Linked DNA regions of Xenopus tropicalis. Each later gene encodes a partner of the first gene's protein in a complex. Links are inferred from orthologs where the notes say so. Each region holds a gene or a part of one and is shown on either strand. Other genes may lie near its edges. The genes, in order: adgrg1 and cd81.

Region 1 (16,123 bases):
AGGTGACAATTTTTTAGATGACAAAATATTATGTAGGAAAGGGAGAAAGTGACAGATCAGAGATGGGCTGGGATGGATTGAGATGTTATTACAAATTATCAAGTATGTTGTTCATAAATGTGTAATACCAGCCTTGGCTGGTATTTTACCAGCTAGGCTGGTGCATTTACACGTGTTAAATCAGTAGTGTACCTTGGAAGCCCCAGGCCCCACCACAAAAGAATCTTCAGAGGGGCCAAGTACGAACCATTTCTCCCTATGATTATGGTAAGTTAGTAGTAAATGTAGTTACACCACTGTGTTAAATCCTTTAATGATCACCCTATACTATGTATGTGTGCTGTAAATAGGGTTGCCGCCCAGCCAGTATTTCACCAGTCCAGCTTGAAATTTACCAAAACAATCCAAAAATCAAGAGTACATAAAACTCAGATGATTGAGGTAAAATCCTTACCCACAGTAGTAGGGGGTCCGGGTGCTCATGCCCCAGACCTTTAGCTTCAGGGAGCCAATAATGGGAAATCAAGAAAAACAGGCAGGCACTCCGGATAAATAAAGTGTTCTTGGTAGCTCAACAAGTTAAAGTAAAATCAGTATAGGCTCTATAGCATTATGTGTAAGTTTAAATAAACTATACTGATTTTACTTTAACTTGTTGAGCTACCAAGAACGCTATATTTATCCGGAGTGCCTGCCTGTTTTTCTTTATTTCCCCTTGAAATTTACCAGCCAATGCCAAAGCCAGTATTACGAATGTACTAGCAATGCACTTCTGGGGAAATTTGTAATACCCTCTTCTTCCTCCCACGGCCTGCCCCAATATCTGTTAGTAAAACATTTAAAAATGTGGCAACCCTAGTTATAAATGTAGTTGCATTAAGAATTTCTATTAAAGGAACAGTAACACTAAAAAATGAAAGTTTTTTTGAAGTAATTAAAATATAATGTACTGTTGCCCTGCACTTGTAAAAGTTGTGTGTTTGCTACAGTAACGCTACTATAGTTTATATAAATAAGCTGTTGTGTAGCCATGGGGGCAGCCATTAAAGTTGGAAAAAAGGAGAAAAGGCACAGGTTACATAGCAGATAACAGATGACCTCTCTAGAATACAATAGTGTTTATCTGTTATCTCCTATGTGCCTGTGCCTTTTCTCCTTTGAATGGCTGCCCCCGTGGCTAAACAGCAGCTTTGTTTACATAAATTTCTGACACACCAGTTGTACCAATGCAGGGCAGCAGTATATTTTATTCTTATTACTTTTATACACTTTCATTTTTTGGTGTTACTGTTCCTTTAATTCTCTCCTTTATTAAGTATTTTTGTTTTTAACATTACTCTACACCAAGTTGTTGGAAGTACTACAGATTTTTTTGGAGAAATTACGTCTACTCTAAAGTGACCAAAATCGCTGTTTTCAGGTAATGGATTAGGATTTTTGTAAATGTGATGTTCTTTTCACTCCAGTTTAACGTTAATTATATTTTTCACTACTTTTCAGTCTACTTTACTTTTGTATATTTATCCAGACTCAGCTAGGAACAGACCTATCATATTGCAACTTTCTGAACACAGTACCTTTAAAGGACCTTTAATGATTGGAGCATTTGCACAACAACTGCGACCATCTTTGTGCGACCACAACTGTGTTTGCCCTTTATAAATCACCTGTTATATATTTGCCACATGATGCCGAGAATTCCTGTAGTTATGTCATGCTCATGGCAGACTTGAGTAGAGGGCAACCATGTATCCATCTGAGCAGCACTCTGCAACTTAAGGTAAATAAATCTGGGACAAGGTGACAGGAGGGCCTGCGAATGGAACAGGCCTAAGTTCTTGATGGTTTAGCCCTGAAAAGTGCAATGTTGCCTAACTCAAAGCTACTGCCTGTGTATCAGTGGTAAATGAGCACTGCCATTGGCTTTACCACTGCAGCTGATCAAAGCTTCTTTTTAATTTAATAATTCAGATAAATTAGCATCCAGGCATAAAGTATTTTTAAGGTCACACTCACCAGCTGGTATAAAAATTGCAGGCAACATAAAAGCTGCTTTAATAAATGGGAAAAGGGGGCATTTACCCAGGGCCAATGTGATGGGTAAAGTACCAAAAGAATTGAATTTATAATTTTCAAATGTATCATGCAAATATGGCAACCCCTCCTGCAAACAGATGGAATGGCTCTATAACATACACTTCTTTTAATTTCTTTTAGGATGTTGCTAATAAATGCTCTCATATTAAGTGCAGACTTTTTTTGTGGTGTCCCATGTAGTATAGAGTTGTAAGGTTTTGTTTGTTTGAGTACAAATTAAGGAGCCACAAAATTAGGTCATTCAATCTGTGGCAGACAACACGCAATATTTTTAAAACTGGGTTTACAGTTGCTTTAATGGCACTGCAATTCATACTTGCTGGGGCACAAGCACAAACTATAAGCAGGATACTCTGATTAAGCTAGTTGTAAATATGCACACACAACACATCGTATGGATAATTCAAATGAAATATGTTCCTTTTATCTTCACCCCTTAATGAGCTCAAAGGTATATTTAACTATATTATTCTTTATCACGCCTAGATTTTTGAGCTTTTTACAAATATGGTAGTACACCCACAAACCTCGTGTTTGAGGTGGGATTGTTGGGATCACTAGTTGGATCGTTACCCAGGGACCAATTCCAATAAATTATGTTTTTTACATGACATATGGCACACTTGTCCTTTTTTAGGCAGGACTTTGGAAGTACTGAAAATACCTGGGTTGGTAATGTGGCTCCGGGACATAAATGATCACAGTTTATAATTTTAAATGTTGAGAGATATGTTATGGATGTTTTCACCCCTTGGGGCATATTCATAAGAATCAAATTAGAGCTTTCCACAGTGAAATTCCTCCACTTTCTGTTAATTTCTATGGGATTTTTAAAGACTGATTTATCAGCAGGTGAAAATGAGAATTCACCATTTGATAAATATGCTTCTGAAAACCCCATAGAAATGAATAGAGAGTGGCGGAATATTCCTCTGGCAAACTCTAATTTTACTCTTTTAGAAATATACTGCATTGCTAGATCTCTCTAGCTGTTTTCACTGCATTGTATTATATGACTGTAAAAGAAAGTAGTCTCACAAAGACCACTACCATTCTTCAGTGTAGCCAAATTGAAATGCTTTGGTTCCAACCCTTGTATTCACTGCTGTATTCCAAGAGTTGGTTGATGTCACTCATCAGTCCCTACAGGCCTAACTATGTAGGAAGCTAACTCTATCTACCTGCTTCCAAAAATGGCCTCTGAAGCCCTCCCCCACTTTTCTGGTCAGGACAAGCAAAATTGCAGTCTCATATGGGCTGTTGTCTGTCACTGATCTTAGGGATCGACTCACAAACAGAACCATTCTCTGTAAAGGCACAGATGCAGACACCTAAATGCATTACTAGTCCTGCTCCATTTACTTACCTAAAAATCACTGCATGCAGTAATGACCAACATACAGCGAGAAAATACAATAAATGAGTCACATAAGGTAGTGTTAGTTTTTTCAATATGGAGAGTCTTATTTATAGCCCAGGGTTAGTTCTCCAAGAGAAGTGGCATCTATCTTTCCCTGCAAGTCAGCGCGGTGAGGGGCAGTGACCCGTGTAAGTTTGAGCGTGGGACTGGTGTGTGTGCTGAAGGAGCGGGAAAGTATGCTGAGAGAAATCGGATTTACTGTATGAGAACTGATAGGATCTATAGGGAGCTCCAATAAAGGGGCCAACTCTCAGGCCCACCTTTTACTTTTTTTTTATTAACCAACTCTAAGCTCTAATCTCATATTGAAAAGGCAAATACTACCCAATGTAACTCTTTAGATTTAGCGGATCTTCGTTGTGTACATCGGTCATTATTGAATTTAAGGAGACTTAAATGGCTTACTTTTACCAGCCATGCACAAACCCAAATAAAAGTGGGCCTTCTTTCCAATCACAGCTGTGTAATATGTTTTAATACTGATGAATTCTGGCATAATTATGTAATGTTATGAATTGTGAATCTGTAGATAAGTACTAACTAAAGGGGTTAAAATGAATTACACAATAAATTACTAATAATGATTTTTATGATGTGGGTTGAAATAATATAGCTGTCTATATGCAGGTCCACCAGTTATGGAACCTTGTTCCTACAGTAAGGCAGCCTCTAAAGCACAGTCCCACAACATTTTGTACCCGTGAGTCACATTTAAATGTAAAATAAGTTAGGGGAGCAACACAAGCATGAAAACTGTGTCTGGGGATGCCAAAAATAAGGGCTATGATTGGCTATGTAGTACCCCTTATGTGGACTGGAAGCCTGCAGGAGGTTCTTTTTGGCAGTGTACCTGGTTTAGATGCCCCGTCATAGAATTTTTCCTGAGATTGTCCCACAATTTGTACCAAACTTTCTCTTCTGATCTCTAGTCCAGCTAAAACTCCCGCACTTTATTGCACCTGTTAATGTTTTGTTTTTTAGTTGATGAAATGTTTCTAAAGTTTAAAAGCTAAGATTTGTCCTAGTGGGAGTTAAACTAGCAGCACATTATTTCGCGTAAAAGGACTGTAAAGGTACACAGCCCGATTATAGCTGCCGATAACGCTCGATTCGGCAGCTTATCTCCCCGTGTAGGGGCAGGAACGAGGGGCATGTCTGACCGATATCTGGCCTCAAATTGGCCAGATATCTATCGGACAGGTTAAAAGATTTAGTCGAACCGACTGCCCCATTGCCGCCATTATAATTCGATCACCAAGCGAGCGGATCACGTGTATGGGCACCTTAAAGTATCAGATCAGGGAGTCAGATCTGTTCCAAAATGAAGATATACACTGTATAATCTGCATAGGTCAATACATCTCTGTCACAGGAGCCGTTTGTGGAGTTAACAGAAGATTGCATGAGCTGCCAGCATGTGTGGAGTCAAAAGGTGAAATTTATCAGTCACAATTTTTTTCAATTTACAAACAAAAAGTGGAATATGGACTGTCTGTTCAGTCATGTTAGTGAAAGCTTATGAGGAATTCAAGCAAGATCAGACTAGCTCTACCTAAAGTGTATGTTACAGTGCAAAACAAAGCCCAGAAAGACACTGGGATGAAAATTTGCAAACTATGCTTTTAGCACGCCATTTACTAAATATCCATTTAACAGTCACACGGTACATTTGGGGGCAAATGTATCAAAATGCGAAATAAGAGCTCATCAAAGAAAAATTCACCCACTTACTATCAATTCCTATGGGATTTTTAGAAGCGTATTTATCAATTAGTAAAGTCTAACTTTTATAGATAAAGTCGCTTCTAAAAATCCCATAGAAATGAACAGAAAATATGTGAATTGATCTGTGGTGAGCTCTAAACTCACATTTTTATAAATATACCCCTTGGTGTTTAGCACACCATTGAAACTGTTGTGTATCTAGTATGTGCTCTTTGGCAGAAGGTAATCAGAGAACTTCTGTATATTTAAATGGACATGGACTACCCCTGAATATTAATATAGGGTTAACCAATCACTTAACAATTCAGGGACACATCTAGCTAAAATGGATGAGATTTAATGCAGTTTAACTTAAATGCAATCAGTGCAGCCCTGCAACACATTTATAAGAAGCATTAATGACTTTTCAAGTGATCTGGTAATGCAAAATTGAGGGCATTTGGCAGCTATGAAATCATTAGCCTGAACCACCTATTTACTCTTATTTATTGATGCCAGTCATCCTATCCTCCAACCAGATCACCATGATGTCATGTCAGGCCAGTGCAGATAAGTACACCCATTCCACATGGGACGTGTACTTTCTTTAACACCCTGTAGTCTTCACATTCCATTATATTGGCTTCCCACTTAAAGGCCAGTGAAAACTGTGCCCAATTTTACACGAGATGAGACCAGAAGTGTAACAGCCCTAATGTCATGGAACACTCCTCAGAAAATTAACTCTGAAGATCACCCAATCCCAGCTTTAAGTAACACATTCAAACCAGGTACTCATGCATTGATTGTTATTATTCACTCAGATCAGGATCTACATACTATAGAGATGCTGGGAGCACTTGGTACAGGTTGTTTTAGAAGGGGAAACTTAGCGACAAACTTGCAGTAGAAGCAGCATCACAATATACAGAGCTGCTCAGCATTGCCATATTTTATCATTGTTTATGTGAACCACTTTATAATTTCCACTACCTAGTAACAAATGAAACTAATACCTGAATGTATACCTAAATAACTATATTAATAATAATTAGAAACCAATTACTAAATGTCAGCATAAAAATGGATTATGATTGGCATGAATATAAACAAACACCTGTGTAACGTGTCAGGAAGAACCTGGATTTCTATGTTCTCTAATTATATGTGGAAAGAGGGCAAGGCAACAGACCCCAAATGCCAGTTCCATTTCCTATCCTTCTGTATGAGCCACTTTGTTGTTCTACTTCAAGCTGCTGTGTTTTATCTGAGCCCTGCATGTGTTTCCTTTTCTTATCTGCCATTCAGCTAGAGACGGCAGGTCCTGTCTGATGCTTTTATTTTTGTGGTCACTGTTACACAACCATTCAGTGCTTTTACTGAAGCATTTCTGTACAAATGCCCTATTAGGATATATTAAATAGCTGCTTGTATTTTTCTGTGTCATACTAGCTCCCTGTATTTTTGGCATACTACTAGCTTCCTGTATTTTTACGGAGAAAGAGAATATTAATTTCAGCTCCTAAAAACACTAACTACACCCAGGCATCACAGGAAAATTAAAGTTTAGGATTTCAGCCGGCATAATCTTAACAATTTGTTAGAAGAGTAATCTTGCTGAAAAATCTTGGTAGTCACCCAACTCAGTGTTCTGAATCCTTTGATGCAAACCTATGTGTTTATGCAATTTAAAGTTTTTGCGATGGAATTGGTGTCGAGAAAGCTCAAAAATACTACTTCCTACAAAGTCTAATTGAACAATTCTTATTTTTGTAAAAATTTGCCATCTATCATCTTCTATAGAAGTCAATGGCTGAGTTTGTAAACTCAAAAAAGCGAGCATTAGATATGTAAGTTTATTGATTTAGAAAAACAAACTTGATTCACAAAACTCAAAAATTGATAAATAAGCCCATTAATGTACATTAATATTTTGAAGAGTAGTTTTTTTTAGCGTCGGTATCACTTTAAAAAACAGGGCCTTATTGTATGGTTCTCTAGAGTACAGAGAGACTTCTTCCAATCTATCTGGAAAACATCGGGTACCAAGCATTAAGGATAGATTTAATATACAAATCTAATACCTGTGTATGCATTATATGAAATGATGAGTGAAAATATTTTCATTACCACATGTCCACTGACTTCACATAGCAGCGAAACAGGACAGATTTACTTATCACAATATGCAGTAAGAGCTGGTTAGTTTTCTGTTATTAAAGAAAATCAGTTTTCATAAAATACACATATTAAAACTGCAGAGGAGCTGTTGTTTCTTGCTAAGCTTTATCATTTTAACCAATCCTGTTATAGGAAGCAGTGATGTAAACAGTAGGTTTCAACACCATGGTCTGAATTTCATACATTTAAATAAACTAGAGGTTTGGCCATTAAGCATGACATAACTGCTGTTTTTAGAAAGAAAGGACAATTTAAACTTTTTGATTACAGTACACAATACAAACGCAAATGTGAATTTTAGTGTTTCAAAGGTTGGGTTTCTGCCACAGACTTTTCATGTGATCTCAGTTAGCTCCACTGTCTGTACAATATATTCTATGCATGCGCTCGAATCAGTACAGCAAAACTCAAATCCACCAACTTCTGATGTAAGTCCTGGGTATGTCATCTGACATCCACTGTACCGCTATAAGCATATTATCAGGTAAACTGCTGACAACTCTGAAACTCAAGTCTGTATTGTGAAAGAACACTTATTCTTGTTTTAGTATTATTATTTTATTTATAAAGGTTTTAACAGCTGATATACAAACAAAGCTACAGATAAAATAGATAATAGAGGCCCATATTTTACAACAGCTACTGAAAACATGTGGTTCTTTTACTTCCCTTTTAATGAGAAGTCTGCTTTAAAAAAAAGGTAGACTTTCGGTTACACAAATACTCAAGTTTCCTCATTGCTGACAGTCAACTACTTTCAAATAAAACCTAATAAACACATAATTCACAGATGCTCAAAATGCATATACTATTATTATAATTTATATAGTGTTGATATATTCCACAATGTTTTACAGAGAATATGCATCATTTACCACAGCCTTTGACTGTTTGTGAGATACTGAGAGTTGCAGTAAGGTAGCAACAGGGGGGGCTAAAGCTTGCCCAATCTTGTTGTTACCTTACAAGCCACATGTATTCCACACATGAATTTGAAATGTGTTAAAATAAAATATACAGTTTAACCTAAAATGTTCTTTGTTCTGTATGGAAGCAGAGAAAGAATTATGAAACACAGAGAGACGAGTAGGAAAACTTACCACACTGCTGGTTTGAAGTTTCTGCAGAATACTTGCTTCTGGTTCCCAGAGTGCAGCACCAAGCATTTGCTTGCACAGCACATGGCAACTACAAGTGCAGAGGCAGGAATGCAATCTCACAACTGGAACCTTAGTATTCTGAACCACAGACAAACCATTCTAAAAACAAAGCAGGCTTTGTTGAGAAACCTACTAAAGTAGGCAGCAAACCCTGATACGTGGGGAGACATCCCTGCCTTGTTTCAGACTAAACTGTAATCTGTAATCCAAAGATTCACAATACCAATCTCTGGCTCGCTTCTTTTTCCAAAACAGGGATCACCAACCTTCTTTTTACCTGGGAGCCACACTCAAATGTAAAAACTGTTGGGGAGCCATACAAGCATGAAAAAATTCTAAGCTAACTGGTAGCCACATGTGGGCTGCTAGCTTGCAGGAAATTCTGTTGGCATAAACTTGTGTTTTTATGCCTCCAAAATCTGCCTCCAAGCGAGTAATTTAAAAAAGCACTTACATTGAGGCCACTGAGAGCAACATCAATGGGATTGGTGAGAAACAGCATCACAGCTCACGAGCAACTGCTTGGGGATCACTTTTCCAAAATGTTAACATCCTAGACTGTAGTGTGGAAAAAAGGTTTTCACTCTACACAGTCTTGGTCACTGCAACCATCTCACTGAAAAATATAATGCCAGTCTCCACTGACAGACACTTTCCATTTACTTCTAACATACATTTAAACCAGGTAGCAGACACATTAGAAAAAAAACCAGATGTAATCAAACTGGCTCCTGTGCTATTGCAAATTCGCCTTAGTGCAGAAACCAGAAATAAGTAAATGCATTTATTTATCTATGTATTTATTTATTTATTTATTTAATAAGTGTGAATTTCTGAGAATGAACTGCATCATCTCATTTTTTAGGCCTTAGCGCCCAAACAATATTAATTTGGCTATGGCTTACCAAGCAGCAAATGTTGTAGGGGTGATCCTATGTATGCTCAGTGAGACACAGTACAGTGTCATTTCACTGTACAGTGTCATTCCAGTATCATATTACTGCAAGAAGAAATATTAATAGCCTAGGTGCTACCTTAATGGGACAAAATGTGCCCCAGTATAGGTGAGACATAAAGGGGAAAAAACTTTCAGCATTTTGGTAATGCCCAGAGAACGTTTCTTGAGAAAGGTAAAAAAAAAAAAAAAAAAAAAGTTTATTTAAGGTCAAAGTTTTGGTTTGATTCCAGCTTGGGTACTGTTTGCAAGAAGTCTGTATGTCTTCCCCTTGTGTGCGTGGGTTTCTTTCCAAATGTAACTTCAAAACATGCAAGCAGGTATATTAGCACTAGTGTGTGTGTGAGTGTGATAGAGACATTAGACCAGGGGTCCCCAACCTTTGTTACTCATGAGCCACAGTCAAATGTAAAAAGACTTGAGAGAGCAACGCATTCATCACAAAAGTTCATGGAGGAGCCAAATAAGGGCTAAGGTTGGCTATTAGGTAGCCTCTATGCACACTATCAGCTTACAGGGGATTTATTTGGTAGGAAATCTTGTTTTTATTCAACCAAAACTTGCCCCCAAGTCAGGAATTCAAAAATAACTACCTGGTTTGGGGGCACTGAGAGCAACATCTAATGGGTTGGGGAGCAACATGTTGCCCCCGAGCCACTGGTTGGGGATCACTGCATTAGACTGTATGCTCTGCTGGAGCAGGGAATGATGTATAATCTCTGTAAATATATATCCTTCAAAAACAGCCTGGATTCGGCCCAAATCCCCAGGATTATATATATATATATATATATATATATATATATATATATATATATATATATATATACAGTATATATATATATATATATATATATATACTCTTACATATTTAGCAGAGTTTTTTTTAGTGTATTAAGTAGCTGCACCTTACACCTTGATAAGTAATAGGTGCAGTAGAAGTACTGAAGCCAGTGGTGTTTTGGAGTCTACTGCTAAAATTATCCTTATCACTTCTCTTTATGTAATTATACCCTTTGATGAAGCCAGCAAGGGGAGAGCTACACAGGCCTAGGAGCATGGTCTGATGGAACTCTCTGATGAGAGTTCAGCCAGATGAAAATGTCTAGTAAGGGCTCTGGCACACGGGGAGATTAGTTGCGATTAGTTTTGCCTCGCGAGGCAACTTCGGCAATTTGCCAAAATCGCCTGTGCAGCGTGTGCCATCCCACCAGCGACTTACATTTTCGCCGGTGGGATGGTAGTTCGGGGAGATTAGTTGCCTGTGACAAGGGAGATTTGTCGCGGGCGACTAATCTCCCCGTGTGCCAGAGCCCTAAAAGTAATTAGATCAATTATACAGCCATGGCTTTACTAGTACTAATTCTCTACAAACTATGCCATGTACTTAGAGATTTGTATCACAGTCATTTAAATAAAGATTAATGTATAAAAGTACCTAGATTTTTTTGTAGAAATACAAATTGTCTCTGCACATTTGCATATAATGCCTGACAAAGATAGAAAACGATATTAATATCATCTTTATGCAATATTCACACATATTAGACTTAATGTTACTGCTGTTGTGCTTCTGTATTTGCTTTGTCAGGTCTACTACCTTAATAGAAAATATAGATATCTTGGATAACAAAGAATGGCGGAATAATAAAGCAGATGGCAATCTATATGTGAACATATTTTTTTTTTTTTTCAAAATCTTACTTTTATTGATTTTTCATTCAAAGAGGGGGGGGGGGTACAAAAGAGAAAAAGGGGGGGGGGAGGGGTACAGAAGATAAAAAGGGGGGGGGTGGGTTCGGCAAAAGTTACAGTATTCATTGTCCATTATGTTTTGACAGGGTTAACAGCGAGTTTTGTTATACAAAGATAGTAAAATACATTGCATATTCATTACATCTTAGGTCACCTGTTGGTATGTAGGTTCTCGTTCCTAGGATTTTGTCCTATTATAGTAGTATTATCTTACTTTAGCAAATTTATCCAGGGGTTCCAAGTACTATGATACTGTTGGATCTTATTATGCAGCAAGGCTGTGATTTCTTCTAGTTTCCTAGTTTCTTCTACTAGAGTGATCCATTCCTTTACTGTAGGGGGGTTTATTGATTTCCACTTTTTGGGGATTAATGCTTTTGCTGCATGCAGTAAGTGGAGTGTCAATTTATCTTTTACAATTACCTTGCTGTTGCCATCATAGTATAGTAGAAGCAGGGGGAGGTTGGAGGGGTGTATATTGCTATTAGTGATATTGCTGGTTGTTTCACACACTTTACTCCAGAACTTTGTCAAAGCTGTACATGAGAACCATATATGTTTGAAGGACCCCACCTCAGAGTCGCATCTCCAGCATTTGTTGCTAGCATTTGGGAAAAGCTTATTTAGCTTCTCGGGCACATAGTACCATCTGGTGGTTATTTTGAAGAGCATCTCCCGTATTCTTGATGCTCTGGAGGATTTGTGGATATTTGTTAGTATTTTTTCTCTGCATCAAAATAGCCCTGCTGGGGGGTATTATAGTTTATCAGCAGAAATTGGTATGTATAAGACAGCGGTCTTGTAGGTAATTTCTGGGTTTCTATCAAACTTTCCCATGTAGTTGTTTGGTTACTAGGTGGTGTTCCTTTAAATTTGTTTAGGTAATGATGTAGTTGGTTGTAGCATCATGCGTCTCTGGGGTGGGGTCCCCAAATTTTTTGAATGCTTGCCAGATTTATGATTTTCCTTTTTTTATAAAAATCAGTTAACCTGGTTTCTCTTTCCTTATAAGTTCCCCATCTTGCAAAGGCCCTAGTGTCTAAGCTGGGGGGGAATTCTGGGTTTGCTATCAGTGTTTGGAATTTGGGGAAGGGTGTTGTTGTGATAAGTTGTTGTCTGTGTTTGTTCCAGATTTCTAGTGTTGCCGCTATAGCAGGGTGTGATAACGTTTCCTTGGGTATATTTGTGGGTTGGGCCCATAGTAAGTTGCTTAGTGGGATTTTGTACAGTGCTTGTTCGGTTTCCACCCATATTTTCTGCTTACTTTGCAGGTACCAGTGGAGGGTTCGCACCAGGTGGATCGATGCGTAGTACCGGTAAGTGTCTGGGACTGATAGTCCTCCTTTGCTTTTGGGGAGAATTAGGGTTTCGTATTTGAGTCTGGGGGTTTTGTCTCCCCAAATGAAATTGGATATTGTTCTCTTAATTGATTGGAAAAATATTTTAGGGATCTTAATAGGTATGGTTTGGAGATAGTAGAGAATTTGTGGCATTATAGACATTTTAATTGCCTGTATTTTCCCAAACCATGATAGGCCTAGCGTTTTCCACCTTTTCAGTTGTTTGTCCACCTTGTCTATTAATGGGACAAAATTAGCTTGGTATAGCTTGGAGAGGTCGGGTGTTAGCAATATTCCTAAATGTTTAATCTTGTTGGGGGACCACTGGAATGGGAAATTCTGTTCTAGTTTAGTTTTTGTTGAGATTGGGAGATTGATATTTATGGCTTCTGACTTGCTTACATTTACCTTGAAGTTTGATACTTTGCCAAATTGTAGGAGCAGCTGCATTACATTCGGTAGCGTTATGTTGGGTTTTGTAATGACTAGTAATAGGTCGTCTGCGAATGCTGCTATCTTATGTTCTCTTTTGCCTGTTATAATGCCTGAGATATCAGGGTTTCCCCTTATGTGTGCTAGTAAGGTTTCCATCACTAACACAAAAAGGAGCGGGGAAAGGGGGCACCCCTGTCTGGTTCCATTGTGTATATGAATCTGTGGTGAGAGTGAGCCATTTACTCTAACGCGGGCTGTAGGTTCTTGGTATAGTGCCATGATTCTGTTGATGGTTATTTCCCCCAATCCAATTCCAGCCAGTGTCTGTCTTAGGAAGGGCCAGGAGACCCTGTCAAAAGCTTTTTCCGCGTCTGTCGTTAAAATCATTGCAGGTATTTGTCTCTTTTTGGCAAAGTGAATGAGAGATATAATTTTGTAAGTATTGTCCTTCCCCTCCCTACCCGGTACAAAGTGAACATATTTTTTTACTTATTGAAACAACATTTAAACTATACACTATAAAAAAAATGTTCAGTGGTGTTATTTGTATATTTAAAAAAGAACTGCATTTGAAAGCTGTTTCTGGTAGGCAATCTCCAGTTATTATAATAGCTTACCTCTTGTGAGGCTGCGAGAAACTTCAAATTAAGTTACATTTAAAATTGTAACTTTAAAAAAAACTTTCAAGTAAAGTAATTACCACCCAGGAGGATCTGGCAGCATTCCTTCCTAGCTGTCTAATAAGACAAACATCCAAACTCAGTGGCAGGTTTTTTTCCTGAAATATGAAGGCAGAGGAGTTGGAGAGAGAAATATTTAGCTAACAGCAGATATTGAACTTCATGAACTTTTGTCAATGTTTCAACTTTACTTGGTTTAAGACTTTGTAACTGTGTTAGGCTAATGAGGTGAACAGTAAAGGGATAAATAAGTGAAAGGGTGAGATGCACAAAAAAGATAGGAGGAATTGATCAGTAGTGGGCACGCCTATAGATCGCTAAATATAGTGGTTATGGAGTATTGAGGTGAGAGAAATAAGAAGAAGCATGGCTGTTACAGAACAGAATTATGGAAGCTGAAATTAGCTATAGTATTATAAATGCAATTTTACACACACAACTCCAGGGAAAAAAGTGGGGTTTACCTTGAAGTGATATGGTGGATTGGCAATTTTATGATCAGACTTTGTAACTAAAACCCCATTTTTAAAAAATATATGCATTTGGTCAAGTACTAATGAAATAGGGGACCAGGGAATATGCATTAATCAATCCCCTATATTTTATAGGTTTGTAGCTAAATTAGCCTGATCACTCGCACATTTTACTTATGTATTTTGCTTGGCGTGCTACCACTTCCTTTTTGTGAATTTTTGCACTTAGAATATATTACAGCAAAGTATAATGTATCCCATTAATATTTGTTATTGACTTGAACAGTAGTAATTTCCAGGGTAAAAAAGAATGTGAAATATAGGAACAGCAATGTCATGCAAGGGCCAGTTTCTGTAACAATGAAAGGAAATGATAAGGCATTGTGAACATTGCTGTATTGCTTTATCAGCTTGACCTTTCAGAGCTGACAAAAGGAATTACGAAATATTCTACATCTTTTATTCTGCCTTACACATAACTGTATGTGTATAAGCATTTTCTATATAAATAAATAAATAGCTTATTTAAAGCTGTTTCTTTTAGATTTTTTCAGCACATACTCACTGGTGTCACTGAACCAATGATTTCATTACAGGTGTTAAGGTGGCCATAATTAAGATCCACTTGCCTGGTGAGGTCGCCAAGTGAGCGGAACTTCTCACGATATCCTCCACCTACGGGTGGACAATATAGGGTGAATTCAGGATAATTCGGTTGTTTGGCCCTAGGGCCAAACGATCGAATTAGAACACCGGTAATAGGTGCAATTGGTTCAGGGAACGCATAAACGAGCCAATGCGTTCCCTGATCCGACTAAATTTTTTAACCTCCGATCGATATCTGGCCAATTTCAGGCCAGATCAGGCCAGATTTCGGTCGGACAGGCCTGTCATTTGTGCCCCTAGACAGGCCGATAAGCTGCCGAATCGGTCTAAGTAACTGATATCGGCAGCTACAATTAGCCCATGTATGGCCACCTTATAGCGTACTGTATCCAGTAAAATTGTACTTACCTTTTAACACAACTCCACACCTAAGTGAAACATAGTACCAGAGAATATCTGAGCATTTTAGTGGCTCTTATTTTTCCCTGTAGATGAAATGGTCTCTCTTTATAATCTAATGCTACATGATCCTAACTGCTTAATTACATTTGGTTGACCATATTAAGGTATGAGGCCGAAGGCCTAGTGTTTTTATATGGGTCAGGGAACTCCCAATATCCTAATTTTTTACATCATTTTACATAATTTATTATAATGCACAAGTTTCACTGATTTTGAAATTTTGATATGATAATTGTATTATAAAAATATAAACTATACCCTCATTATTTATTAATATCGAATGTGTCAGTTTTAAAATGACCATGTGCATATTCTACTACAAAGAGAACTGGTAAATAATCTTAAATTTGGAATGGCAAGACGTGTAGTAGGACTAAAAAATAATAGAGGGTAAATGCTTTTCTTTTTTCCAGCATCTGCATAAACTGGAATTGCTTTATAACACTTCAATTTCCTATCCAGTCTTGATTCTTTATGAAGGTAAACAGAGAGCAAGACACAGACAGACTACCTCTTAAATATGTACTTCTAACCTGCCCTACAGGCGAAGTTAAGGAATGTCTCAATTACAAAAGGGATTTGGAGAAGGTAAGGGAGGAGGGTATGAAAAAGCAACCTAATCCGCCAATCCTTTGTAAGTTACATTCCACTCTCGATACATTTACCCTTCAAAAGGGTTTATGGATATCTGTTATCACCTAGACTTTTTATTCTAAAACACGGTTAGACAGTCTTAAGCTCAATTACTAAGTGGAGGCTAAGTGCTAATCACAGAATAAAATATGTACAATTAATCACAGACTCACTTTACTTTTACCAGAATTTCAGCATTAACGTGCCCACCCCTAGGTACAA
Region 2 (16,173 bases), about 54 Mb from region 1:
TGATAGATCTCTGCTACCGTGGGGGACTAGACTCTCCAAAATGCCTTTCCACCGGCAACAATCGAGTCACTGGTGGAAAGGCCTATGCATCGCTTTGGTTTTCCAAAGTCGCACGAACTTGCCTGCAGGAGGAAACTTTGACTTGTATTGTTGTTTGGAAAGGCACTATTGGAGAGATTGTATTGTTGTTGATTATTACTGTATTATTGTTGTGATGGAAAGGCACTTTGCAGAGATAAGTTGCACGCGGTAGCAGAGATCTATCAGGGGTGGCTAAATGTCCCCCATGGGACATCAGCCTATACCTTATTTTCACTTTCTGTTTGCCATTTGCACGATTACATGCCTCTTTCTTCTGCCTTCCTGCTGAAGGTGATGCAGACTCATTCATGTAAGATCTCTGATTCCATCACCCATGTGATAAACCGCATCTTGTAGGTAAGCCAGAGGGAGTGTAGTGCTGCTGCCAAAGACAGGGTTGAATTCTGTCCCTGGCTGACCATACTTTCAATATGTAAACAAGACTGAAGAAAAGGCCACTATCCAATGGGCTTCCAGTTTGGTCAAGAAAAATCAGTAGCCAATAGAGCTCATTTATGTCTGCAGATGCAGTGAGCAAATTGCAACTTCGAGCACAGTTGCCATGTTTCTCCCACAATGCAGAATTTTTTCTCAGAATGCAAGTGTCCTTGATGCCATAAGCGGGAGTTGCACTGTGCCTGACATAATTGCGTTTAATTTGTCAAATATTTTAGAAGTCTGCCTGCTATCATTTTCGTTGTTCGGCATACAAGTGATGTCTACACTCAATTCTTTGGGTGCAAGTGTACTGGGCCTATTGATGTATGGTGCCCGGTTTAGGAGGTGGCGGTAGCTCCAGGGTTTCTCTGCTTAATTAGGTGCAGCATCACCCAATTTGGAAAGTAAGGTAAGGAGGACTGAGAAGCACCAAGCTCAACTATACAGAAGTGCATAACGCACATTTTGACGCAAGTTCTGACAGCAGGGAAAAGCACAAGTTGCCCACTGTGCTTGCAGACATAAATGAGCCCTAATATCTATATAGGGAGTGTTTAATTCTGCCAACAAATTATTAGAATTGATCAGGTCTCAGAGTATAATTTGGCCCAACACATCAATTCATTATATTGAAAAAACTGATCAGCTTACAGTCCTATTTGCTAAAGAGAATCACAAACTCTAGACATCAGTCTGCTTAGTTTTCCATCATCTTTGTTCTGCTGTGGTTGCACCACAAATTGGTCTATAAAGCCAATTACCAGCAGTCTCACAGTAGAGTGTGAAAAGGAACAAAATGTGTAACCAGATTTGTTTTTTCTGACTGTATCCCTATCCCCTCACTGTATCTTTATATCCTTATGCAGTGCAATAGGGTGGCTCTATCGGTCTGTAGGGAGTGGCCATTCAAATATGGCTGGTAACTCAAGACCAGGGATCCCCAACCTTTTTTATTTATGAGCCACACACCAAAAGGTGAGCCACAGAAGCATCAAAAAAGTTCTTTGGGGATGCCAAATAAGGACTGCAATTGGCTATTTGGTAGCCCCATGTGGTCTGCTTGAGTGCAGGAGGCTACAAGCCAGAAATTTAAAAATGGGCACCTACTTTGAGGCCACATCAAAGGGGGTCATCAGGGCTCGGTAAGCAACATGTTGCCCCTGAGCCACTTGTTAGGGATCACTGCTCTAGACTTAACACAAGTGAGAACAGGTATTCCAAGCCTGATTCAGCAGGACAACATAAATAAAGGCTATGACACTATCAGTATTGTCTATTTTGTAGCTGTGACAAGTAACTGGCTACTAATAGCTCCATGTATCATTGCCCAAGAGTTTAGTGGCCTCCCAACTAAGTTATAAAATGCCCAACTGCTCACTTAAAATGGAAAACACATCCAAACAATGAAAAAGAACAGCGACATGCCATTAGAAGAATAATGTATCCCAATACATTTAAGCACCTGTTTGGCCCATTTCTTGGTCTGTGGGAGGGAAATGTGGCTCTAGATGTGTGAGCCAGTGCAACAAAGACAGGAGGCTCCAACAGAGGAGAATTTGTGCCCACACAATTCACAGGCAGCTTGAGGAAACTTTTGAGGGACTTCACCACACAAAAAGATTTGTTGAAGTTAACTCTTGCTGAGGAACCAGTAAAAGTGTGGCAATTGTGGTCGCCAAGTGACCCCTGTAGTTATCAAAAGCAACAATATATACGAGGGCTTGGCAAGCTTACTAGAATGTGTATTGGTTGATTATATTAAAGCAGTGATCCCCAACCAGTGGCTTGGGGGCAACCAACCCCTTGGATGTTGCTCTCAGTGCCCCCAAACCAGGTAATTATTTTTGAATTCCTGACCTGGCAGCAAGTTTTGGTTGAATAAAAACAAGATTGCTACCAAATAAAGCCCCCTGTAAGCTGATAGTGTGCATAGCGGCAACATAATAGCCAATCATCCATCATTTTTTCCAGCTCCGCAGGTGCAGGGGGGCTGCTGCCATGAGGTGAGTTGAGAAACTCGCCTCAGACGGCAGGGCCCTCAAAGTTACCAGGAGCGGCTTTTTGAGTGCGGCTCAAATTCGGCTCTACTAGTTAAGAGATTGCTCTACACTAGCAATGAGGCCTCCCTGGACTCCCTCTGACGTTGTAAAGGTAAGTGTGGGGGGCCGAGGGGTGGTATCGCAGGAGCCGTCTCAAGGGCCAGCAAAACACACTCAAAACTGCCTCTCCATAGCCTTCTGTGATGACTGACTGACCTGTAATGGTATCAATAAGCTGCCAACCTTACTGCACTGCTCTACACTTGGGCAATTTCCCTAAAAAAAATATTTCTTAATTCTAAAGAAATGTAAAGGGTTTGATAATAATTTCACCGCCACACTTCTTCATTATACACTCTGATCTGCCAATTGGGGTAATGTTTCTTGCATGCTGGTTTCTTTCTCTGTCACCCAACTGTTAGTCTGATCACACTGAGTAATAATTACCACGGGGGTGGGTGGGAAACGAGAGTTATTTTCAGAGTGATCGGTTACATACGCAGGCACACAGAGGGTAGTGTAGGCTTTAGGTTTCTGATTTATATGCGCAGAAAAGGGTTTAAAACCACTGCCACCTGTGTCAGTCAAAAACAACAACCATAGAAAAGCCTGTCCTTAGGCCTCAGGCCCAAAGCACATCATCTGAGAGAGACAGAGAGATGCCCCTTTCAGCTTCTTCACAGCAACCAGTAAGAGTTTTGCTTTCATTAGTCTTACTGCATTTGACCAATCAGAGCTAACTGGTTCTTATCGGTTAGAATTCCCATGTTTTCTGGGAAAAATATAGCACACTTTTTATAGCTGCTACCTTTCTTCCCTATTACTGTCGTGTAAAATACCTCAAAGACAGCAGCCTTAGTTACTACTCAGTGCTGAATTGACACAGACATTGCCCAGACAAAGACAAAAATACGTGTATATATAACTGTCAAACACAAATAGCTGCATATTTTTTCTTGGAAAGGTAGGCACTGTGGCATTACTTTGCCTTTAAAATGGTGGGCTAAGGAAGGGTGGGGCTATGCCAAATTGTAAATATTTCATAAACACTAAATAACAGACTGCTGCTTTTGTTAAGGGCTGGTTTATTTTCCACAATAGACACACAGGAAGAAAATAAATAAATATTCCATATCACTGGAAACTTTGCCTCAAAGGATGGAACTCCCACAGGTAACACCTCATTGCCTAGTCCTAATGCTGCACACACAGCCAGATTCAGCAGGAGCATCCCTTATATATACAAACAATGTCGACAATACCATCTCACCCTACTATACCTGCTATCCCACAGCCCCAGTCCCTTCCCAGAGGCTATTATCCCCCCACTGCTACTATAGGCACCATCTCTCCCTACTATACCTGCTATCCCACAGCCCCAGTCCCTTCCCAGAGGCTATTATCCTCCCACTGCTACTATAGGCACCGTCTCTCCCTACTATAGCTGCTATCCCACAGCCCCAGTCCCTTCCCAGAGGCTATTATCCCCCCACTGCTACTATAGGCACCATCTCTCCCTACTATACCTGCTATTCCACAGCCACAGTCCCTTCCCAGAGGCTATTATCCCCCCACTGCTACTATAGGCACCATCTCTCCCTACTATACCTGCTATCCCACAGCCACAGTCCCTTCCCAGGGGCTATTATCCCCACTGCTACTATAGGCACCATCTCTCCCTACTATACCTGCTATCCCACAGCCCCAGTCCCTTCCCAGAGGCTATTATCCCCACTGCTACTATAGGCACCATCTCTCCCTACTATACCTGCTATCCCACAGCCCCAGTCCCTTCCCAGAGGCTATTATCCCCCCACTGCTACAATAGGCACCATCTCTCCCTACTATACCTGCTATCCCACAGCCACAGTCCCTTCCCAGAGGCTATTATCCCACTGCTACTATAGGCACCATCTCTCCCTACTATACCTGCTATCCCACAGCCACACCCCCTTCCCAGAGGCCATTTGCTCATTGCTGTTGCTACTGAGTGGAGGTGCTCTGAGTGCTCTGTGGAGTTGTGACTTTCTCCCAGGCCCGGCTGGGTCTGGGGGTTAGTTTTTGTGGGTATTTTTTCTTTGTTTTTTGCTGTTTTTCCCTACTCAATGGGGAAGAAAGCGATTAAACCGTTTAGCCGGGTAGTGAAAACCCGTTTGAGAAGCAGCAAGAAGGCCACTGGGTCCAACATTGTGGTGACAGTGGAGCGCACTGCAGAGGGCAATGTTTCCTGCTCTCTTAAAGGGAAGGAAAAGAAAAGCAAAACCTGTTCCCAAAGCGGCATGGAGAGTGACTCTGAGGACCTGGGCGCCGGTGTTGGAGTAACTGCAGGGAGCTGCGGAGCTACAACAGAGGCAGACCAGGAGGTGAGAGGAGAGTCTGATGACTGCAAAATGGCTGCTGGCAGTGAGGAGCTTGGAAGCCATGTGGCCCTGGAAGTTGCAGAAAGTGCTCTGACCAACCAGGAAATGGCTGCTGCCTGTGAGGAACATGGAAGCTGTGTGGCCCTAAAAGTTGCAGAAAGCGCTCGGAGTGACCAGGAAATGGCTGCTGCTTGTGAGGTGCATGGAAGCCGTGTGGCCCTGGAGAGTGAGCAGGTAATGGCTGCCGGGCCCCTGGGGAAGGCTGGGGAAGTGCACAAAGGTACTGAGACTGTAATACAGTATGATACAATAATTAATGCTTTGAAGGAGCTGCGGTGTTTGGAGGAGAAGCAAAACAATTTAAACAGAGACATTGACAGACTGATAAAAAATCAGAAGTTGCTGAGAGGAGAGAGGAGAACTCAGTACATCAGGGAGTTGGCTTTCCACAATAAGGAGCTGGAAGAGACTGAAATTAACATTAAAGACATTTTGGCTGTTATAGAGCCATGGAAGGAACTGTATGACAACAAACAGAGATTTGAGCAGATGAAAGAGGGGCAATGTGACTGCTGAGAGACTGCTAAAGTTGCTGAACTGCTCAAAGAGACTGAAGTTTCAAAAACTTTTACTGAATGTAGCGTTGCTACTAACATTGTGCATAGTAACGGTCTTTCCCATACTGATAGTGTGTGTGCAGCTGCCGTTAGTGGGGTGAGTGCTGGGGGCAGTGTGGGGCAAGCAGCTGAGAGTGGTGGCAGCTGAGGTGCAGGTGATTGCAGGTAATGCAATGTGTGTGAGTGAGGGGGGAGGGGCAGTGAGTGCTGGGGCAGCTGAGGTGCAAGTGGCTGGGAGTGGTGCAGCTGAGGTGCAGGTGATTGCAGGTAATGCAATGTGTGTGAGTGAGGGGGGAGGGGAAGGAAAAAATGTCGTTTATTCTGCTGGGAAAGCAATGTGCATGGGGGGACTGAGAGTGTTGCTGGGGCTGCGGGGGGCAGTGTTTTGGGAGGGAAGGAGATTCTTTGCACGTGAGCAGGATGAGGAGTTTGATGATGAGTTTGATAAGAGGAAAAATGTTGTGAAAATTAAGTGGGAGAAAGAGAGGGAGGATTTCCCGGGGCGCAGGTTTGTGGGCAGAAACATTATTAAACAGTTGCTGGGTTTTACCCCACAGGACGTTTATGCCTTGCTGAGTGTCACAGACACAGAGTTTGATTTAAGCTATAAGCTATCCCAAGGGTTAGAGGAGTTCTGGAGGCGGTACCATCTGAGTAAAGAGGCCAAGGAATGGGAGGGGTTTAGGGTAATCCCTGTGTCCAAACCCGAAACCAAACTGGTCACCATTATCATGAAGAGAGAGACAGTGCATGAGCAGGACATCCTCATATGGCTCCGGCGCCAGTGCACTGTCCTATCCCCCCTAGAGCCGGTGTTTGATGAGGAGGGATTCTGGGTAGGGGGGTATAAAGTCCAAGTGAAATTGCATGTGGATCAGAATGTTCAGAAACATCTCCCAAATTCCTTTTTCATTGGGAAAGCAAGGGGTGTCTGTTTCTATGTGGGCCAGCCCAGGCTATGCTATAAATGTGGGTCCAACAGACATTATGCTGTAAAGTGCAACATACAGAAATGTGCTTTGTGTGGGGAGACTGGGCACCCAAGCAAGGAGTGTGTCAAAGCAATAAAGTGTAACCTGTGTATGCAATCCGGCCATGCTTATAGGGCCTGCCCCGACGCCTGGCGCAACATTAGGAAGGCTTGTCCCAATCTGGAAAAAGTAATGAGTACCCCAATGCCAGGGGAGAACTTGCCCCAGACTGAGGGAAGGGGGGAGGAGAGGGCAGGTGGGGCAAGAGAGACAGACAGGGGGCGCCCAACAGAGGTGAGAGGGAAAGAGGGGGAGAACAAACAGGCAAAGGCACAGGCAGCGGTACAGGCAGCCCAAGAGGAGGGAGGCGGAGGGGATGGTTGGATAGTGGTGGGCAGCAAATCAAATAAAGCTAAGGAGGCTCAGTGCCCAGGTGTAATTACCCTCCCAACTGAAAATAGGTTTGTTTTGCCAGGAGGGAAGTCATGGGGGGATTTAGCAGAGGAACAGGTAGAGTTGGAGAGAATGGAGGAGGAGGAGGAGAGGGAGAAAAGGAAAAGTCTCTCATCTGATATCATCTCCAGCAGGAAGAAGAGCAAAAGGGAAGGGGCTTTTCAGTCTCAGGGGGCAGAAAAGGAGTCACTGGAGGAAGGGGAGTTGGAGGAGGAAAGTGTGATGGAGAGTCAGGGGGCAGGTGTGCGGGTACAGGTTAAACGGTCTGCTGGGAAATGTTTGGACAATTCTCAAAAAAAGAAACATAAAGATGCCTCTTGATATGTGTTTTATAATGATCTGTAAGAAATAAGATGCTTTGCAGGAAAGTACGTTTTGTTTTTGATGTAATATTGATTTATGTTTTTTTGGTTTTTGTTTTTTGCTTGATTGAAATGTAATTATTGTTTTATTGTATTTGTTAAATATATTTTAATAAAATTCTCTCCCTACTATACCTGCTATCCCACAGCCCCAGTCCCTTCCCAGAGCCTATTATCCCCCCACTGCTACTATAGGCACCATCTCTCCCTACTATACCTGCTATTCCACAGCCAAAGTCCCTTCCCAGAGGCTATTATCTCACTGTTACTATAGGCACCATCTCTCCCTATTATTAAGGAGATTAATAAGCTTCCCTCATGTTGCTCTACTAAGAGATGAGCTTAGGGGCCCCACTCCTGATTGGACATTATAGGACAACTTACACCCAGGTGCCATTTTCTACACACTGCCATTCTTCATGCTGTTATGAACTATTAATTCAAAACAGATGCATGGAAGGGAGCCTTACATCCTAGCATAGCAATGTGGTAGCAGATAGTCAACCCGCCCACTCATGTACACATAAACACATATGGCCAATAAACAATGTAAGGAATGTATAACCCAATGAAAAATGCTTTATAAGCACATCTTAACCAAATGATGTCATTACAGTGTAATCCTAATTAGTCATCCAACCTCCGTGTTGTTGCGGCAATTAGTGGTGGCAATTAGTTGCTGCGATTGAATTTTAAAAATCGCGGTGACCAATTGCCCCGTCTGTCTTCACCCTAATGCCTTATCCTCTGACTCCAATACACCAATGGGCCCCATTCTAATGGCCAGATTATTCTAAAGATGGCAAACATGTTGGAATCATCAATTTTAATCCCTCCTGACACTAGAAATTCTACACTTAAAGCACTCTATTGTATCTTCCAACGCATACAGTTCTGGGGGCTGGATTTTTTGCTGTAAATAAAAATAACCTTTCCATACCTTTATATAACAAAGCAGCCAATAAGCAAACACTATAAAGTCACTATAAAGAGAAACTGGCTTGTGGATGTGATTATATACATAAATACATAATTCTTTGAACAGATGGATGCATTTTGGGGGCAACACAGGCACAAACACAACGCTGTACGTCACAAGTATAGTGTAAACACGCCCACTGAAATTGTTTCCGCAGTATTATCATTTCCATTGTCACAACTGTTGTACAATTATACATCCTGCACCTTATAGACTGGAAACTCTACTGAGCAGGGCCCTCTGTACTTCCTATAACAGTCAGTATTTGTATATAATCGTTATGGTTTGATATATACGCCGCTCTATTGTACAGCACTGTAATCCTTTGCCCTGTCTGTGAATACTGTGTGTGTAACATACATGCAATAAGCATGATGATAATCACCCTCAGTTTTGCTTAGCATGCACCCACTGTATCAGCATAGCATTATAATAAAGCCTAAGATTTTAAAGAAATAAGGGAAAGGCAATGGGCAGCTACTCCCAACCAGTTGCGCCCTGCCTGTTGCTCAATAGCAATCCCCGCAATTTTCCCACAGTCTTTAATCCCAGTACATAACATCAGTGCTGTCCAATCGGCAGCTGTTCTGTAATACAACTCCCAGCATCCCGCCTAGAGTGCAATTTAAAGCACAAGGAGAGAGTTGCCGCCTGTTAATGCTGGGGGCCAGTGGCTGGGGATGCCTATCTGTGCCAGGGGTGTATATATATATATATATATATAGGGCAATGTTATTGTGATACATGAGGGGCTATGGGTAAGGAGGGGCTAAACTGCCCAGTTGGGCTCAGCAGCCCCCACTATTCCCCCTCTGCACCACGTGGTGTTGGAGACCCTGCAGAGGGGCTGTTGTTGGTTACTGAGTAGGACAGAGGAGGGGGCACAGAATGATCCCCCCCCTCCCATTACAGCCACACTGAAATCCATGGGAAACAGCAGGGCTGGCACCGAGCGACCCTTTCCCTGGCTGGAACGCACTGTGCTACAGGGTTCATCCATTCCCCACCCTGATATAATTCCGCCCCATCACCCCCCTCCCAACTCACAAACACTACGATTCCCAGGTTCCAGCCAACCCTCACCCCCCTAAGCGCTATCTCAGGATCTGTAGGAATGGCGATGGGGGGGGGGGGGTCAGTGGAACCCTGTGCCCCCCTCGTTTGTACCCTTACAAATACCCAATGGATAAGGCACACTCACCCAGAAGATGAAGTTGAAGACAAAGAGCAGATATTTAATGCATTTGGTGCATCCTTCTACCCCCATGGCGGCTGCGCTGAGCGTTCCCCTGTCCCTTATTAGCTGTAAAGCGGATCAGAGATGCGAGAGCGGAGAGACAAGGTGCAGACACAGCCAAGCCGCCTCCCCATACAGTGTCTGTGCCACGCCCACTCCCCTCCCCTGCCCCCCCCCCCCTCCTTTTAAGGAAGGGGGGCTTCCTCACAAGCCAATGGCTATCAGGGTTGGGGTATCCTCCTGAGGCGCTTGTGTCCCTTGCACTACTACTCACTGTGTTTTCAACGCCATTTCCCAGCATTCCTTGTTATTTCTCCACAGAAAACTCATGTTAAATAGTTGAAACTGATAAAGTTCCATCTAAATATCTCTATATAGAATAAGGAAGGTGATAAGGACGTTTGTGCTGTTACAAAACATGCTATCTGGTCGTCTGAGACCAGCAACAACAAAAAAAGTGTGAGGGATTAGTTGTATGTGTATTTGTAATTACCTCACTTTTTATTTTGGTCTGTTCCTATGGACCTTCCCCTCTTCCTTTCTGATGGCTTCTTGGTTGCTAAGGCAATTAATCCTTAGCAACCAGTAAGCAGCTGGAACTTGGCTGGCCATACACGTGGTCGCACGAAACATCGTCAGATCCGCCGCACACCATTCAGGGCTGAATCGACAGGTAAGGAGGTAGAAACAATAGGATTTCTACCTCCTTCTGCCAATTCAGCGCTGAAGGGAGATTTTGGTCAGGCGCCTTCTATGGCGCCCGATCAAAATTTTCAAACTGGTCCGATCGGCGAGTCGGCCAATATCAGCAGCTTCCTGCGATATCGGTTGACTCGCCGACATACCATACACGCACCGAATATCGTACGAAACGAGGTTTCGTACGATATTATCGGTGCGTGTATGGCCACCTTTAGAATTACATAACTATAAATGTAAATATTTAAAAAATGAGAATTAAGAATTTAGATTATTTATATATTGTCTTCGATTATTGATTTATGTTGATGAACCCCCTCAATCTACCCACGGCCCTTGAGCCACACTACTACAGCTCCCAGCATCCTCTGACAGCGAGAGGCCTGTGTGATTAATATTTACACAATCCCATGTTCAGGAGCGGGAGAGAGGGGCTTTCCCTTTTGCAATGTTTAAATTAGGGGAAAAAAAGGACCTCTGTCTTTTGCTAAAGGGTTAAACCCCAAACAGATGGAAAGTACAGTTGGGAAATTGGAAGGGAAACTATAAAGGGCAGGGTGGGGGTAACAGTAGCATGCTTGTTAGGGAAGTGGGTATGTGAGGCTAAAATAAAAGTGTGAGGGGTGCGGGGTGTGTGTCGGAGCTGGGGGAGACGTGTGGAATACATCAGCATAAATCGCTTGGCTGATTTTTATTTTAAGTCTCTTGTCTCTGGTACATTTCCTGCCAGATGGGCCAGGCACATATTTCCCTAGCTGTAAACTCCTGCCATTTCCTTTAGGCACACTGCAGCATTTCCCTTTAAATTGAGGGGCGGCGTACAGTGTACTTGTGCTGGAATTTCTGCCTACCTTTATTAAGAAAATTTCCTCTTTAAGGGCGACTTGTTATGTGTTTCTTAAGGGCTCATAGTGGTTCATCAACGTTATTTTATCAGATGCATGTGTAGGTCTACATAGGATAGGATAGGAAAAGTCAAGTTCACTGGTATCTGGGCCAATGTATATATATAAAAAAATGCTCTACAAAAATCCCCCCAGTGCCCTTTCAGAAACTAGCGTTTAAACCCAACAGTAGACCTGAGGGGGTATATACCCATTTAGTTCTGCAACTGGCACCTGTGCTGCAAGGGAAGGGGGCAGGCAGTCAAGATCCAATACATTTGTTTTCCATAGTTGTTCTGCCCCTGGCCTGTCCCAATAACCCCTTTGCCCTCCCCTTCTATGCTCTCAATCCCTTCCTACTCATTAAATTTGACCCACTTTGTCCATTTATGCTCCTCCATATCACATCACAACTCTACCCTATAATATTACAACTCCACCCCTATTAGCTCATTCACTGGCCTATACACAAGTCCAGACTGGGATTCAAAATAGGCCCTGGCATTTAAAGTACACAGAGGCCCAAACAGCCCCCACAAGCCCAATAAATAGTGACTGTCTATGGCCTCTTACTGCAGCCCCTCTGGGATTTGCCAGTCTGGGCCTGGGGGGCAGAAATGGTGATGCAAACCCAACAGCCACCAGAAAGGGCTGGGATGGCTAGGGCATTGCTGGTGGGGCTGGGCCAGGAGAGGTCCAGGCCCACCACCTTCCTTTGGCCTCATCTAGGTGCAATTTGTACACCTGAACACCCCGCCATCTAGTAGGTTTCAGGCTACAGTGAAGAGAGTGCCCGGGAGTCAGGTTGGCAGTGTGGCATGCCCATAGAAGATACTCCAGGTTAGTTTTTTCACCAAAGATGATCACTGGCTTGGGATATGAAGTAAGAATTCTTTTTTACTTGAATATGAATGCCTTATGGGGCAGCAGGAATAACTTTTTTTTTTTTTTTTTTTTTTTAAAGTCTTGTTTTTATTGTTTTGGCACAATTTGTTTGTCTTGCAAGATCCATCATTTAGAAAAGGATTACAATAGGATATATTTAGCTGCAATGGCAGATAGTTGGATAGTTTGGCAGCACCATTATTGACAATGGTATAAAGCACCACAACTATATCCTTAACTTGCGGCCTAACATCGGCTGTGGGAGCATACTGGGAGAAGCAGTGCAGCGTGGGATAACGCTGAGGCAAAACATGTTGGGCAGCTGAATTTGTTAAATGCCTAATTCAATTTTTCCACCCCTGCTTTTATTTAATTTGTTCGTTTGGCTTGTTGGCTCGGGGCCACAAGGTTTCATTAAGTCAGCCTTGGTGTAAATGCGTCTGTATCCGTTTCTTTTATAATGAAGAACTGAAACTAATGAGTGAGTTTGTGTCTGCGCGCAGAGAGGAGGGGGAAATAAAGCTCTGACCTGGGCGCACTTAAAAATAGGCACCAGAGGAAATATCTGAAATGCTTGCATTTCATCAAGAAAGGATGTGAGCACTGATACAGAGGGATATCTTATGAGAGGGATTGCTGGGGTATTGAGAACTAGCATATAATGGCTAATTCGATCGTTTGGCCCTAGGGCCCATACACTGCCAGATAAGCTGATTCAAAATTGGTCTGAAGGACTCAAATCTTCCTGTGTATGGCCACCTTAACCCAACTTTCATAGATTTCAGGCTAAAGCTGACCGGACCAAACCATTTTCCCTGAGGCTGCGGTGCCTAAGGCTGTGGAAAGTGTATTTCAGGGGGGCGAAGAAGCACCCGAACACTATAGAAACTTGAGGCTGAAAGGGCAAATAGTTGGGTCTCCCATTCTGATTTGCTCACATGCAAGCAAACAAATTACACAGGCCACTTTGAGTTCTGTTTGTTATGCAAAAAGGACCTGTCCATATTGGTTAAAATCCAAAGATATGCCAGTAAAGGTCTTCAACCAACCAGGCAAGCTGCCACAACGTCCTTGGCAAAAGAGTGAATTGTTGGCATATGGCCAGCCTAATAGCCCTGTTAGATGAGATAAAAGGGAGGAAAACATAAACTTGCTATACATTCAAAGATCTGTTTGGACACAGTCACCAAACTAAAAAAAACTTTGCTTGATTTGGCCACGCAGGTGTTAGCCGAATGGTGCTGATGCGATCATTTGCCCCCAAGGCCGAACAGCCTATATCAACAGCCTAACAGCAAGTGCCACATTAGCAAAGCATGGCCTATCCCCAGCCAAAACCAGACCTAAACAAGGGATAGGCAGTAGAGTCATCTGCTATCTTAGCAGCTCATTATTTAATCAACTTTTAGACTGATGTCCCACGAAGGGTGTTAGTTGCCCGAGATATCTGCTATCATGGGCAACTAACTGCTCTGAATAGCCTTGTCACCAGTGACCCATATTGTTGCTGGTGGAAAGGCAGTTTGGAGTGGTTAGCCCCCACATCACTTTGGTTTTCCAATGTTGCACAAAGTTTCCTCCTGTAGGTAACTTCGCGCAACTTCTGAAAACTGAAGCAATGCAAAGGCCCCTGGAAAGGCATTTCAGAATGGCTAGTCAACCGCAATAGCCGAGATATTACGCAGGCGACTAACTCTCTCTGTGGGGCATCAGACTCTCTTCGCTGCTCCCATGTCAGCTGGTCTGCACCTGCCACTAACCAAGGTGGGAGCAATGGTTTGGGTCCAGTTCTGCCTTGGGTGTCAAAGCTCCTTGCTTCATCTCTATTGGACTATTAACAACAATGAGCCAGGCAGAAGCTTAGATTAGAGCAGCAGACAGTGCTTTACTACAGTAACATCAATCTGTTGGAAAAAGGAATTTTTTGGCCATGCCTTGTTAGGCCCCAATTGCTTTCCACTACGCAATCCCTATATCTTCTATAAATTGGCTGCAAAAAATCCAGGCTCCTTAACAGGCTTTTTCAGTTAAAGGGATTACAAATACATTTTGTAATCCAAAATGATGGAAAACAGGGTACTTGGCTATTACTACTGTCGACCGGAAGATAGGAAGATGTGCATAATAGTGGCCTTTTGGGTTTACCGGCTAGGCCAGTCAAACACCGGCCAGATGGCAACCCTACAGAAAGAGCAACTGGAGTGCAGTATCAGCCACCAACTTGGGCAGTGCCCCTTAAAGATTCACTGAATATGCCCACAGGACATTTTGATCTTCTTATGCTCACAGATGCAGCATTCAGCATCCACTTTCCTTTTGAAACTTAAATCTAAATGTATTCATTTGCTGCACATGAAAATATTACAACAAACAACTCATTTCCTTACACTCCTATTTCATTCTTGCTTGATTAATGCTCAAGTTGCCTTTTTCAAGAAATTTCACAAAGTACTGTATATTTACTTGCTTTAATTAATATGCTTGTTTTGCTCTTTCCCCCAACTTATAGATATTTTGGCTCAGCTAGCAGTTTTAGGATTGTCTAAGCTGCAGTCCTCTCAAACAGGCTAGCCACAACATCCTAATCACTGGCCATAACCCCCCTAAACCAACTATTAAGCAAGGCAAGAGCTATGGGTTGGCAGCAGAGCCATGTGGCTATGGCACAACAGGATGCTAGGATGATGGGACCCTAGGCACATACCTCTGCTGCCTACTCCTGCATGGAGGGGAGAGTAAGGAGGGTTTGGTGACACAAGCTATAGGTGGGAGGTTGGTGGCAGCCAGGGTTGGGTGTTGGACAAGCAGGCATCCTTGCCTTGGGCGCCTGTGGCACTGCCATTATGCTTCTTTCTATTATAGTATTTTATTATAGAGTGTGAACTGGTGTACCTAGAGGAAAGCCATGCAAACAGGGATGGGGGAACATATAAAAACTCCTACACAGGGCTGTTCTCTTGTTTCAAGTCTGAAACCCTTAGCAATGGGCGGGGGGCCAAAGCAGAGGGATCCTAAGGCCCAAATTGAAGGTGTGGCCTTCTGTTTTAAATTAGACATGTAATGTATGGGAAGTGATTTCCCTTTCCTTCTCTGACTTCCTTGACAGAAGGATGAGTGTCAGCGTGCTAAGAGATAAATGCCTGTACGCAGTGTTAAAGGGCAAATATGCAGTGTTTGAGAGGCTACATTCACTATACTTCTGTATAAATATTTAGTGAAGGATCACAATATAGGTTATTCTCGTTTCTCTGCATCTCTCTTGGCATTAAAAGGAAAGGGCACCTGTAAAATAAAAGGAGAATGAAAGAGATGTGAAATTCAGAGTGGAGCCATCTGGTTGCTATGATTTAACTCTAACAACTGGAAAAAACAGACTTCCCAACTGAGATTTTTATTACTGTTATTAGTATGTAATGCTGATCTTTATTTCAGATGCTCTGTGATTCATACTTCATTGTGATAGTCAAGCAGATGTCTAGTTGCTTGGGTCAGTAGGCTTAGCAACCAAAATCAGCCACAGAGAGCTACAGAACAAAAAAAAAAGCAATTCAAATAAAAACAAGACTACTTGCAGAGGTTATAACAAAAAGTTAGTTCCTATTCCATTTTTATAGGATCTGCCATACTTTCGGCCCTACCATGGTAAAGTGACTCCATGGACATAAAAGTGCCACTATTACTATGGAAAAAGAGAATTCAGTTTAAGGTTGGAGATCCGATTTTGGACATTTTGATCATGAGAATTCTCAAGCTAACTCCATGTGTGCCAGAGTGTTCCACCATGCTCCCCTGCATATCTGTCCTTACTGAGCCCCCTTTTCCCCAGACCCCACTATAGTTAGATTTTCCACCTGGCCAGTACAGCCTGGCCGGTATAATTGAAGTTTTATGCCAATGTTATTATTAGGGAAAAAAAGATAAAAGTACCTTTTCTAGGGAATGTGTGAAGGGTTATAAGGAAGGCTCAGCCAATCTTGAATCAACAAATTAGTCAGGGGTGCTTATACCAGGAAAGGTGAGAACCTTGCCTCAGGCAGCAGCACCCTGCAGAGGAAAATAGCCATTCCTGGTAACTTTAAGAAACAAAATTTCAATTTGTTAATCAATTGTGCTCTCTGCACTAGTTATGCGGTGGGGGCAGCATCTGAAAGCCTGGCTTGAAGCTTAG

What was found.
Region 2: adgrg1 (region 1) and cd81 share a complex: the UniProt entries of both Homo sapiens proteins name them as parts of the GPCR-tetraspanin complex. The link is inferred for Xenopus tropicalis from reciprocal best matches to the Homo sapiens genes ADGRG1 and CD81.

The regions. Positions count from the first base shown.
Region 1 is NC_030680.2:76,186,603-76,202,725, forward strand, and holds the start of adgrg1 (adhesion G-protein coupled receptor G1), read right to left. Parts: upstream 8,601-16,123; 5' UTR 8,586-8,600; coding exon 8,503-8,585; intron 1-8,502. UniProt on the Homo sapiens protein: Adhesion G-protein coupled receptor (aGPCR) for steroid hormone 17alpha-hydroxypregnenolone (17-OH), which is involved in cell adhesion and cell-cell interactions.
Region 2 is NC_030680.2:22,302,181-22,318,353, reverse strand, and holds the start of cd81 (CD81 antigen), read right to left. Parts: upstream 9,634-16,173; 5' UTR 9,568-9,633; coding exon 9,502-9,567; intron 1-9,501. UniProt on the Homo sapiens protein: Structural component of specialized membrane microdomains known as tetraspanin-enriched microdomains (TERMs), which act as platforms for receptor clustering and signaling.